Linked DNA regions of Mus musculus. Each later gene encodes a partner of the first gene's protein in a complex. Each region holds a gene or a part of one and is shown in the gene's direction. Other genes may lie near its edges.

What was found. The genes of interacting proteins can lie anywhere in the genome.
Region 2: the proteins of Ap1m1 (region 1) and Ap1g1 are in contact, whole or in part, in a cryo-EM structure (PDB 7R4H), measured with the Mus musculus proteins. Residues at the interface, in NP_031482.1 of Mus musculus: Ser289, Asn318 (codon at 24), Asp319 (codon at 27), Ala320 (codon at 30), Asp321 (codon at 33), Ser322 (codon at 36), Trp334 (codon at 72), Pro336 (codon at 78), Glu337 (codon at 81), Asn338 (codon at 84), Ser339 (codon at 87), Gly361 (codon at 2,216), Leu362 (codon at 2,219), Pro363 (codon at 2,222), Ser364 (codon at 2,225), Val365 (codon at 2,228), Glu366 (codon at 2,231), Ala367 (codon at 2,234), Glu368 (codon at 2,237); in NP_001288140.1 of Mus musculus: Arg24, Glu25, Gln28, Lys29, Ala32, Arg35, Ser36, Arg39, Glu40, His64, Phe65, Gln67, Leu68, Gln97, Val99.
Region 3: the proteins of Ap1m1 (region 1) and Ap1s1 are in contact, whole or in part, in a crystal structure (PDB 1W63), measured with the Mus musculus proteins. Residues at the interface, in NP_031482.1 of Mus musculus: Lys12, Glu31, Asn186, Asn188, Val189, Leu190, Glu232, Glu234, Asn270, His272, Arg421 (codon at 3,232); in NP_031483.1 of Mus musculus: Lys26, Lys30, Arg33, Glu34, Gln37, Lys43, Glu51, Trp52, Arg53, Asp54.

What each region holds. Positions count from the first base shown.
Region 1 is NC_000074.6:72,253,515-72,257,023, forward strand, and holds part of Ap1m1 (AP-1 complex subunit mu-1), read left to right. Parts: coding exon 1-119; intron 120-2,182; coding exon 2,183-2,308; intron 2,309-2,592; coding exon 2,593-2,668; intron 2,669-3,220; coding exon 3,221-3,243; 3' UTR 3,244-3,509. UniProt on the Homo sapiens protein: Subunit of clathrin-associated adaptor protein complex 1 that plays a role in protein sorting in the trans-Golgi network (TGN) and endosomes.
Region 2 is NC_000074.6:109,777,433-109,781,388, forward strand, and holds the start of Ap1g1 (AP-1 complex subunit gamma-1), read left to right. Parts: upstream 1-1,150; 5' UTR 1,151-1,530; intron 1,531-3,956. UniProt on the Homo sapiens protein: Subunit of clathrin-associated adaptor protein complex 1 that plays a role in protein sorting in the late-Golgi/trans-Golgi network (TGN) and/or endosomes.
Region 3 is NC_000071.6:137,043,303-137,047,603, reverse strand, and holds the start of Ap1s1 (AP-1 complex subunit sigma-1A), read left to right. Parts: upstream 1-1,495; 5' UTR 1,496-1,593; coding exon 1,594-1,596; intron 1,597-1,703; exon of another isoform or gene 1,704-2,567; coding exon of another isoform or gene 2,568-2,624; intron 2,625-4,301. UniProt on the Homo sapiens protein: Subunit of clathrin-associated adaptor protein complex 1 that plays a role in protein sorting in the late-Golgi/trans-Golgi network (TGN) and/or endosomes.

The sequences.
Region 1 (3,509 bases):
TAGAGATCCATATACCAGTCCCCAACGATGCTGATTCACCCAAGTTCAAGACTACAGTGGGGAGTGTCAAGTGGGTCCCTGAAAACAGTGAGATCGTGTGGTCCGTCAAGTCCTTTCCGGTGAGCCCCATATTTGCCAGGTACCCCAAAATATCTTCCCAAGACCCATCCCTGTGCCACCTTGGGAAAGGTGTTTCCTTTCAGTGAGGGGCAGTCCTGCTTAGTGGCATCCTGGTCCCAGGAACACTGCAGCCCCTCTCTGTACCCTACAGGACTAGGGGAGAGCTGGCTATAGATCCATCCCAGGAGAGCTTTCACTTGGTGCTGCAGCACAGCCACAGTGCGCAGAGGACCGCATACAGTAGGATTCCCTGGTGCACCTCCACCCTTATCTTTGTCCTCACCAGAGAAGAAATAGTGAGAGCCAGGGCTGCCTTCATCTTTCTACCCTTTCTGTGTACTGGAGATGATCCCAAGGTACCCCAAGCATGGTAGACTCTCCTACTGTCCACACTGACTTAAGGGCCTCCCAGAGTTGGGGATTATAGGTGGGAAGGATGGCCAAACTCAGGGTAGATGCTGCCTGGCCCTGGTGACCACTATTGCACTTTCCCAGCCTTTTGTCACATGGCACAGTGGCAAAGCTCATCAGTGTCCTACATATTGCTGCAGTCCTTTTTAAGGCCAGGTAGTACTCCACACCATGCCCCTTCCTTTTTCACTGATAGGCACTCTTGGTGCACCCAAGTTATGCTGCAGTGGATATTAGTGCACAGGGCTCTCCTCCATACCCTGCTTCCTGTTCTCAGGCATACACCCACAAGAGAATGATTTGCCATTAGAATTGTTAGAATTGTTTGAGGCTCTGCCTTGGTGTTTTGTGTAGCAGTGGCACAGTGTCATTCCTGCCAGAGGTGCTTAACAGTTCTGGATTCTTGTCCATCACATTTTTGTCTTTGTCTTTGAGGTTGGGTCTTACTATGTAGCACTGTTTAGACCAGGCTGGCCTCAAACTCACAGAGATCCACCTGCCTCTGCCTCCCCAGTGCTATGGTTAGAGGCGTGCTCTGGTATCTGTCCTCATGTTTCCTTGGTCTTTGATTTGTGACTGTGCACCCAAAGCAATACTGCAGCCACTGACCCAGTCCCCAGCCCAGTCACACTCCCTCCTTTAAGTTCAGTCCACTCACTGGTAATTTTTACATTAGTGTTGATGCAGATAAACATTTCTTCCAGCTCCACCCTAAATCTGTACCCATGAAACCTACAGTGTAACATGCAACACCATTTTCTACAACTTCTGTTTTCACATAGAAGTTGTTTTGTATTTTTATTTTGTAGTGACTTTGTTTGAAACAGGGTCTCCCTGGATAGTGTCAGTGGTCTGCAACTCATTCTGTAGCCCAGAGTGACCTCAAACTCTTGTATCCCAGGCTGGCCTTAAACTTGCCACCTTCCTCCTGCCCTGAATGCTGAGATTGCTAGGCCCTGCTTACTCTTGTGTTTCCTGTGAGCAGGTCTTCTCTTTCCATTTCCCCTTACTTTGTTGTTAGGCACCAGGAGTCAGAAGGCTGTTTGCTCCAGCTCCCATGCAGATGTCATGGCATCCTTTATGGATGGGAGCTGATAAAGGGGAGTTAGGCTATGGAAGCTCTGTCCTGCTGCACCCCAGCTCCTAAGCATGGTCCTAGTCACAGCCACTCCTGCTGCCCCTAAGTGTGAGCTCAGGAAACCAAAGGCCACGTGTCGTGGGTATAACAGAGTTGGGGTGCCAGACAGAGGGGACAGCCAAGCCCAGGCCTGATGTGCTACCTGGCCAGAGCAGGGCAAGTGTCTCAGCTACCTGACTGGTCCCACTCTCACACCACCTCCAAGTTATTGCTGGACTCCTGGAAACCTGCACCTGCCCACACTTCAGTGTCCTCCCTCTCCCTGTTCACAGTCCCCTTGGGGCTGTGCAGGAGGACCCACCACTCTCCCCAGTGTGCTCCCGTGCTTTCCTTGTGGACCTGTCTGGACAGTCTGGCTCCACAGCCACCTATCCGTCTCCCTAGGAGCTGGTAAAGCCACTTCACACCCTGTCTGTCCTGCTTTGGCTCCTGGGAGCCATGAGCTAGCCTGAGAGACAGCACATTGGTTGTGGGCTGGGCAGCCACCTAACTACCTCCTACATCGGCCCCCAGGGTGGCAAGGAGTACCTGATGCGGGCCCACTTTGGCCTTCCCAGTGTGGAAGCTGAAGACAAGGAGGGAAAGCCCCCCATCAGCGTCAAGTTTGAGATCCCCTATTTCACTACCTCTGGCATCCAGGTATGAATGTGTTAGGTCTGACTGCCTGAACCCCACACTTGAGCCCAAAGTCACAACAGAACCTCCAAACCCCCATCCTGACATAGGGCCTATTTCCTTGGAGCCCCTCAAACTGTGTGGATGAGGGGAGCATATTATTCCCCTGAAAGGCTCAAGGTTACCAAGCCTGGGTCTTGGCTGCCTCTGACAGCCCCTCATACAATGTCAGGCCTGCCCCCTTGGCCTTGCCTTTTGGATGAGGGGTGCTGGTGGGGGTGCAGCACACTCAAGGTCCTTGTGTCCAGGTGCGCTACCTGAAAATCATTGAGAAGAGTGGGTACCAGGCCCTGCCCTGGGTACGATATATCACACAGAACGGAGGTAAGTGGCTGCCTGACTGGCAGGACCTACAGAGGTCTTTCTAGACTGTATCTTCCTATGTGGAGCTGAGGGTGGGTGCTCTGGGTGTCTGTGTGGAGCTGAGGGTGAGTGCCCTGGGTGTCTGTGTGGATCTGAGGGTGAGTGCCCTGGGTGACCATGTGGAGCTGAGGGTGGGTGCCCTGGGTGACCATGTGGAGCTGAGGGTGGGTGCCCTGGGTGACCATGTGGAGCTGAGGGTGGGTGCTCTGGGTGTCTGTGTGGAGCTGAGGGTGGGTGCCCTGGGTGTCTGTGTGGAGCTGAGGGTGGGTGCCCTGGGTGTCTGTGTGGAGCTGAGGGTGGGTGCCCTGGGTGTCTGTGTGGAGCTGAGGGTGGGTGCCCTGGGTGACCATGTGGAGCTGAGGGTGGGTGCCCTGGGTGACCATGTGGAGCTGAGGGTGGGTGCTCTGGGTGTCTGTGTGGAGCTGAGGGTGGGTGCCCTGGGTGTCTGTATGGAGCTGAGGGTGGGTGCCCTGGGTGTCTGTGTGGAGCTGAAGGTGAATGTTCTGTTTTTAGATTATCAGCTCCGGACCCAGTGAGAGGCCTCTGCCACCAGCCCAGCCCACCTAGCCTCAGGGCACACCTGCCACACTCACCAAAACTGAAGCTAGAGGGTGGCCCTGGACATGCAGCCACCCTCTCCTCAAGCCTGAGTGGACTCACACAGAACCCCTTCCCTGGTCCCATTCTGATCCAGGGTGGGAAGGAAGGGCCTGCCAGCCTCCCCCAGGGACAAGCCAGCTGGAGCTGTGCTCCTGGTGCCTCATGACTGGCCACCCACCACCCTGTAGACGCCATCCCTGCC
Region 2 (3,956 bases), about 38 Mb from region 1:
ACCGGTAGGTATGGGTTGGAATATGTATATGGGGTGTGGTGAATTTTCTGTGTAAGATGACATCTTAAGGCAGACTCCATTGTGAGAGACAGTTGTAGTTTTTCTCAAGTCTTAAATCTCATTATTTGTAAACTTTGGTTACTTACTTTGACTCACGAGATTGCTTAGCGGGCTAGGTTGTACATACGATGGTACCTTATGATCAATATGACACCAATATTTAATAAATTTGATCGTGCCCTTGGTATCCTTTCTTTCCAGCCACTTGGCATGCTCCAGAAATTCAAGGTCAAAATTGTATGGCTAGACTTACTCAGCTCAACGTCTGTATTTTGAAATCCTTGCATGAAAAACGAATGTCTAAAAGATGCAACTTCCTGTTTATGACACTCAAATTTGAAACTCAGGATTTTTGCTTAGTTCCTGGTCTTTGGTATTCAGTGTAGTCTTGTGTTTTATTCACATCTGGGATACCTTTGTTGTCAATCTATCGGAAAGATTTTATTCTAGGTAGGTCACCTTTCCTTTAAATGGGCCAAGATATCAAGGATCTCTAGGTTCACATGGAAAAGACTTGGGTCACAAGTTAGTAATTATTTATCACGCCAGGAACTGTCTAGTTAGACTTTCTTTGCTTCAGGTCATTAGTTCATTCAATCATAGATGGAAAAGCTATTCTGGAAGAGTTTTAGCTGACATTTGTCCAGATTCTTTTTTCCCCTCACAGGAGGGGACTGGATCGTAGGTGAGATTGCCGCACAAGGCGGTGGTGCTGTGCTTGGAATCCATTCTTAGGTTTCATCTTTTTACCTGTTTTCGCAAAAAAAAAAAAAAAAAAAAAAAAAAAAAATTGAAGATACCATAAAACCCTAGAATCCAAAGCCACTTGGAGCATGTTTCTAATGTTGACCAGAAACCTCTGGCCAACGAGGACCACTTAGGAATCCTTTCGGACAAAACTGGTCACACCATGTCTATGCGCTTTCCCCTGCATCTCCTCTCCGCCTTCCCCAGCTCCCTCGCTGAGCTCCGCCCACCTCAGGTGACCCCCACCGTTTCCTGGCTGCACAGTTTTCCCCTCCCCCCAGAACGGAACCAAAGTGCGACGGCTCCAGGGCCGGGCCGGAGCGTGCTAGCTCAGACTCCTCGCAGCGGTGACTCGGCAGCGGCGTCGAGCGTCATCAGTGACAGCCCCGACCCTTGCTACGCTTTGAGTCGCTCTGCCCGGCGCAGTCGCCTCCTCCTCGGCAAATAGTCCTCGGCGGGGGCCGAGTCCTCGGGTCATCCGGGGTGGGAGACGGCACGGGCTGCAGTCGGAGGGACGCGGGGCGGCCGGCGAGAGGGAGCCGGGGAGCGGCGTCTCCCGGGGAAGCGCGAGGCGTGAGGTAGAGGCGCCCTCCTCGCCCGGGATCCCTCCGCCTGCAGTCGCGGTGCTGAGGCCGAGGGAGCCGCCATTTTGGATGTTCGGTTCCTGCTGCCACTGCCGCCGCCGCCCCCGAAGCTGCTGGTTTCCTTCGAGGTTTCGGGCCGGTGAGTGTCACTCGCGGCACCGAGGGCGGGTCGGCTCTTGGGCTCTGCCGCAGCCGCGAGCGTCTGGCCGGAAACCTCCTGTCAGTCCCAGGGGTCCGGGCTCAGCCTGTGGGGGGTGGGGGGTGAGGAGGACCCAGGTTTGGGTCAGGAGGGACCCGGGAGCCCCGGGCTTGCTTGGACTTCCTGAGGGCCGACCTCGGGAGCTTCAGAGCCGGAGCTGTCGTGCGCGGTCGCTTTCCTCTTCCCTTGGCGTGGTCTGGCCGCCGCAGGCCTCCTTGAACCCATTGACTTTCTCAGGCTGCGAGGCTCCTTTGAAAGCTCGCTCCGTTCGGGGAGCTTAGGATTTAGCGGGGCCGGGCCCCACCCCCGCGTGTCCTCTCGGAGCCACGTATCAGCGTTCTTGTGTTGGGGACTCGGGTCAGATCTGAGAACTCTGAGCATTTCCCACGCAGGGGCAATTCTGCCTGGTCCCTGCAGTGCCGTCCACTGAAAGCCGGACATCGGCCTCGCCTCCCTCTAACCTTCCAACTAACTTCTGGTCCAAACACTTTCGCTTTTTTTTTTTTCTTCTTCCTTCTTCTTCTTTCTCTTTTTCTTTTAAAGAACTCACCTGAGACCGCACTATTCACTCTCCTCTCCAACTCTCGGTTCTGCGGACGTCGGTTTCTAGTAATTCTCAGGCTCTTCCTCATTGCCTGGAACTGTCGGTTCTGCTTCCCAGTTAGGGCTTGGTGTCGGAGAGCCGTCGAACCACCCTAGGGTGTATTTCCGCAGCAAATGGGTTTAAAGCAGGCCAAGTGGCTTTGGGTGCGAAGGAGCTGTGAAAATAACTTTCTGCATTTCTTTCTGTTCTGAAAGCTGAGCTTTGGGGCACTTACTGATACTTTTTATTTATTTTTTTCTTTTAGCGTTATATTTGCTTGAGCATGGAAAGCTGCCCTTGGAGAATAATAATCTGACGTAGGTAGAAAGGAAGATAACTTTTTTGGTTCCTATAGGGATTAGTTAACAGAAGAGCGAGCTGAATGGTCTCTTAGTGACCGCACCCCTCAGGTGTTTGTATAGTAATGAACGCTGCTGACTTCTTATGTTGACTTTTCTCAGACTAGTTAGATTTTAAGCATCCATTTCCACCGTTGCCTGGAGTATTTGCCAGACGTTTGATTTGAAACCTGTGGATCTTCAAAGTAATGATAGCTTCATTAATTCTGTTCTTAAAGTATTCCTGCAGTCCAGTATGCGTGAATAAAAAACATTTCACAATAATTCACTGGTTATTTCCTACATTTCAAGTTAGGTGAGTGTGGTTGAATCACACCCCCCCAGCCCGTTTTATCTCAGCCTAGGTTTTTGCATCTGCAAAAGAGAATAACTTCTTTGAGATCACAGGTGACTCGAAACCTAAGTTTATAACTTGAAGCAAGTCAAGTCTCTCAATAGTTGTAAACTTTATATTGATGCTCTATTTAACATTTTTGAAGATTTATTTATATTTTTATCTGAATGTCTTGCCGGTATTTATATGTGTATCATGTGCACACTCAGTTCCAGTGGAAGTCACAAGAGGGTTTTTGGATCCTCTGGAAATGGAATTCTAGGCAGGTGTGAGCTGCCGTGTGGGTTCTGGGAACTGAATCCATGTCTTGTATAAGAGCAGTCAGTGCTTTTAACTGTTGAGCTGTCTCTCCAGCCCTGTGACGCTGCTTTATTCTTATCAAGCTTTTGAACTGTGAGAACAGGTCAATTCTTACAGGTCATACAGTGTCACGGAGGACAGTGTTTTCATGCAGATAGTCTGTGCTCTTGTCATTTGTTTTGAGAAGTTCCTTCAGAGCTATGTTAGTCTTGTCAGATATGAGTTCTGTGTGTTGCTCCAAAGTTGTTCCCTTTTCTTTTGCTTTAAAAAGAACTCGGGGCTTCTGTCTCCTTGCATGGTGAAATTTTCAGTTTTTGAGTTCACTTTTTGAACAAGTATTGAAAGAACTATCAAAGTTATTTAACTCAGTTCATGTTATGGTTTAACATACTGGGATTTAAATGTCATTCATTCTTAGATGGTTTGCAGTTTACCTTGAGAAAGTACCCTTTTGCTAAACAAATTATTAGCAAAGTGCTGTTCTGTGTACCACTGATCAGCACATATAGGAATGTCTACTTTGTCTTGGCTGCTGAGAATTGCACTAGAAGTTAACATTTGTGTTTAGTAAACTTCCATTTATTTCCTTCCTTCTTCCCTCCCCACCCCCCCCTGCCTTTTTTTTTTTTTTTTAAACATGGTTTTAGCTCAGTTGCTGAGGCTGGCTTTAATTTGTGACCCTCCTACCTTATTTGAGTAGCTAAGATTAACAGGTCTGTGCCACCAGTACTGACCCAGCTTTTGGTTTTGGAGACAGTCTTCCTATGTAGCTCAGGTTGGCCTGGAACTT
Region 3 (4,301 bases), on another chromosome or scaffold:
GCTCTCTTTACATAGCCTAGTCTGGCCTTGAACCCTCTTGACCAGTCCTCTTGCCTCTGCCTCCCCAGGGACCAGATTACAGGCATGTGCACAATAATGCCTGGCTAAATTGTTTTGTTGCTCAACGATTTTTTTTTTTGACATTGTGTCTCAGTCCATAAAATGAACTAGCTATGTAGTCAAGAGTCATTTTGAACTCTTGATCTTAGTACATCTGCTTGTACCTTCCAAATAATCACATAATAGGTGTATACCAGCACATCCAGTTTGGTACACACACACACACACACACACACACACACACACACACACACACACACACACATATTCCTCCATAGCCCCAAAACTGGTCATGACCTCTTGCTCTTCCTGCCTCAGCCTCTGCAGGGCTGGGATTGTGACTTGCCTCACCACACCCAGTTCTGGAATCCCACTCTTGCTTGCTTGACAGAGCCACACTGTGTAGTCTAGGCTGGCTGTAGCCTTCTGGCTATGGGGATTACACCACACCCCTTTAATACTATAAGATTCTCTTCATTTCTTCCCCTTTCTCCTTAATTTACAATTTCCTCCCATTCTTTATATTCCTGTTACAGTATTCCCATTTTCAACAATTTTTTTATCCCTGATTTTTATCCCTGGTTTAGTTTTTTTTTAAGATTACATTTTACAAGTGTATTTTGTGTTGCCTGTGACCATGTCTGTCTGTCTGTGTGTGTGTGTATATATGTGTGTGTGTGTGTGTGTGTGTGTGTGGTGTATACAAGCTAGGGTGCTTGCTTATACAGAGGTCAGAGGACAATTTGCAGGAGTCAGTTCTTTCTTTCCACCTTGTGGGTTTGGGGAAACATCTTTACAATCCGAACCATCATATCTGCACTGTTTTGTGTCACTTTTGTTGTTGTTGTTGTTGTTGGAGACAGGCTCTCTGTGGCCTTGGGTGGTCAAGACCGTGCCATGTAGCTGCAGCTGAACTCCTGTCTCTGCCTTCCAAGTGTAGAGATCACAGGATACACCACCACACCTGCCTTGTTTGCTTTGGGGACAGGATCTTGCTTGCTCTGGAACCCTGAGCTGTCCTTGAACTCTTTATTCTCCTAGCCTACCGGTCTCTATTTCCCTCATCCTGCCCATCACCACCCTCTGACTGATGTTTTCCACATCATTCCTCCCAACTTCTTCATCAGCTCCAAAGATCGTGCATACACCTCTCACCCTTTTCCCGCCTTTTTCCCCCACAAATGCTCCAAAGCTCGAAGTCCTCATTGTCCTCTACCCCCTCCCTTCCCATCCTCCAATCAACCCACCAAGACAGCCCTGTTACCATGACGACCAGGCTTTTGCAAAACTGAAGTCAAGGACCTGGTTGCCATGGTTTCCGCTTCTCCGCCTCCAGCCCCGCCTGCGCGCCGGATGAGATGGGGGTGGGTCGCTGCAGCGTTGGCGCCTGCGCAATGCGTCCGTGCTTGGAGCCGGCGAGGCCTTGGGGCGGGGCTTCAAGCGGAGAGGGAGGGAAAAGAAAAGAATCCGACTGGGAGTGGAGCTGGCTTCTACGGTGGCCGGAGAGGGACGCACCGGGCTGGAGGCTGCAGGATGGTAGGCTGTGAGGAGAGGGAGGGGACGGGGACCCGAGGGGCGTGGGCTGTACCTGCAGGGGTCCGGAGGGGGGCTGCCCTTTGTGGGAGTCGCCCTGTCTTCCCTGTGGTCCGCAAAGGATCCACTTCCTGGAGCTGCTGGAGAGAGCTGACCTCGGAAGCTGGAAATGGCACTAGGGACAGGGGTTGGGAGGAGTCTTGCTGGTTAGGAGAGAGGGGACTAGAGCTGAATGGTGGCGGGACTGTCCCGAGCCTGGAGAAGCGCTCGGGACTCTGGGAATCTTTAAGACCCTCCCAGGCACTGCCGCAGGGAAGGCACGAGGTTGGGGCGCCGGGGTCACTCGGGATGGTTGCAGGTCGCCGAAACCCCTTCCCTTGAGGCCCACACTGGAGCATGGCCCATGGAGAGCTCGGTGTGGGAGGGAACAGTTTCCGGGTCTCTGGAGTGAACCTCCTGTCTCGCTTCCTTGACAGCTCACCCGGAGTTCTGGCTCAGGTGGGCTCTAGGGTTTGCCGTCGGGGACCTAGGCTCTGGAAGACTCCCTACTTTGGCAATCCCAGCTCTCCACCCTCTCCGGGGCATTTTCTTTTCCGGAACCCAGGCCTTCCTGCTGTAGCTGTCACCTCCTTTTCTTAACTACACAGGACTCCCTCAGTTCTTCACCTTCCCTATCCCCCCCACCAACAGTACTTACTTCTAGCTTCTGGGGTGTTGTTTTCTTTTAACTTAACCTGCTAAACTGGAAGTGTGGGACACACACAGATATCCCAACCCGGGCCATGTTCTCAGAGCTGTTTGCTGGGAATTGAGTTCAGGATATGGAATGAGGAACCTCTGCAACTGGTAATAAAACTAGGGCCATGCGGGAAGCAGTGAGGACTCTGCTTGCTAGTTATTCCACAGACATTCCCTAGGAGAGCCCTCCAGGGTGACTATGCCCCTGTCTGAGGGACCCAGTGATCAGTCACCTGATGTCTCAGAAGAAAGGTCAGGCCTTAGAGTGCACACCTGTAACCTGGTACTCAGAGGTAAGAAAAAGGGAGATCAGAAAACCAAGGGCAGCCTTCGCTACTTAGGGAATTGAGATCAGCCTGTGCTACATGAAACATTGTCTCACAAAAGAAAGACAGAAAAGAGGGCCAGAGAGACGGCTCAGCTTGTCCGGGTGGCTGATAACCTGAGGTCATTCCCAGGAGCCATGTGGTGGAAGGAGGGGACTGACTCCTCCTCTGACCTCTGCATGTAAGTGATGGCACGTGGGTGCCCCACACATACGTGTAAAAGAATATAAAAGAACGCTTTAAAGAAACTGGAAGCCGAGCGTGGTGGCACACACCTTTAATCCCAGGACTAGGGAGGCAGAGGCAGGCAGATCTCTGAGTTCGAGGCCAGCCTGGTCTACAAAGTGAGTTCCAGGACAGCCAGGGCTACACAGAGAAACCTTGTCTAAAAAAAAAAAAAGCTGGGAAGAGAGGCAGTATGTGGAACTAAATGTGTGGATGGTGGAGAAAAATGGAGGGTAAAATCTGAATATTTCTGCCAAGCACAGTTCTATTTATATACACTACTCAGGGAAGAGTATCGACAGGTATGGGACTGACGAGAGGCCATATTGAGTCAGAGGCATCTGAAGGTTTATGGCAGGATCGGGTAGGGCGTCTGTGAGACATGGCGTCTAGAAGAACACACAGAGAACTGTTGTCTGTTGGCCTCAGCTTATCATGAGGCTAGGCATCTTCTCCATGGAAAACAGGGTTAGGAAACAGAAGGTCAGGGGAAAATAGCAGCACCTAGCATGTTACAAGTCCTACTGTGTGTCAGGCACCCTCATAAATGAACAAACCCACTATGTAGACACATGCGCACATACACAGAATTAAAACTAATAAAAATGTGCTGGAGAGATGGCTCAGTAGTTAAGAGCATGCGTTGCTCTTGCAGAGGTCCTGAGTCTGATTCCCATCACCCACATGGTGGCTCACAACCATCTATAACTCCGGTTACGGAGGACTCAACAGGCGTGCATGTGTCACACATACATGTGGGCACATAAATATCATACACATAACGTAAATCTTTAATGATAATAACAAATCTTAAAAGACCTCCAGAAGAAAGTATTATTTCTATCCTGCGGATAAAGAAATGGAGCTTTAAAGACTGCTTAATCCTTTTCAAAACCAATCAGACTGCTCAGTGGGTAAAGGCCCCTGTGGCCGAGCCTGACTGACGAGCTGAATTTGATCCCTGGAGCTCACACAGTAGAAGCAGAGAACCAGCTCCCCAAAGTTGTCCTCTGACCTATACACACACACACACAAATAAGTGTAATAAAATGTTTTTACATTTAGTTTACCATATGTGTGTGGGTGGGTGCTTGCTCCATTATGATCGTGGAGAGAGGACAGCTCGTGGGAGTCCGTTCTCTCCTGTAATGTGGGTCATGGGTATTGAGCATGGGTCATCGGGCTTGGTAACTGATTTAGCTATCTTGCTAGCCTAGTATACATTAATTTGCCTGAGGCTGTACTCGAGCTAGTAGAGCCAGTATTTGAACCCAAATCACAGGCATAAGATTCTTTGACTTTCCCCCAGGAAAAAAAAACGATCCTCCTTGTGGGGACACCCAGCATTGACAGCGAGGACAGGGGTTTTCAAGAAGGTATCAAGGAACAGTGGGGGAGTCTGGGGCTGTATGTTTGTGG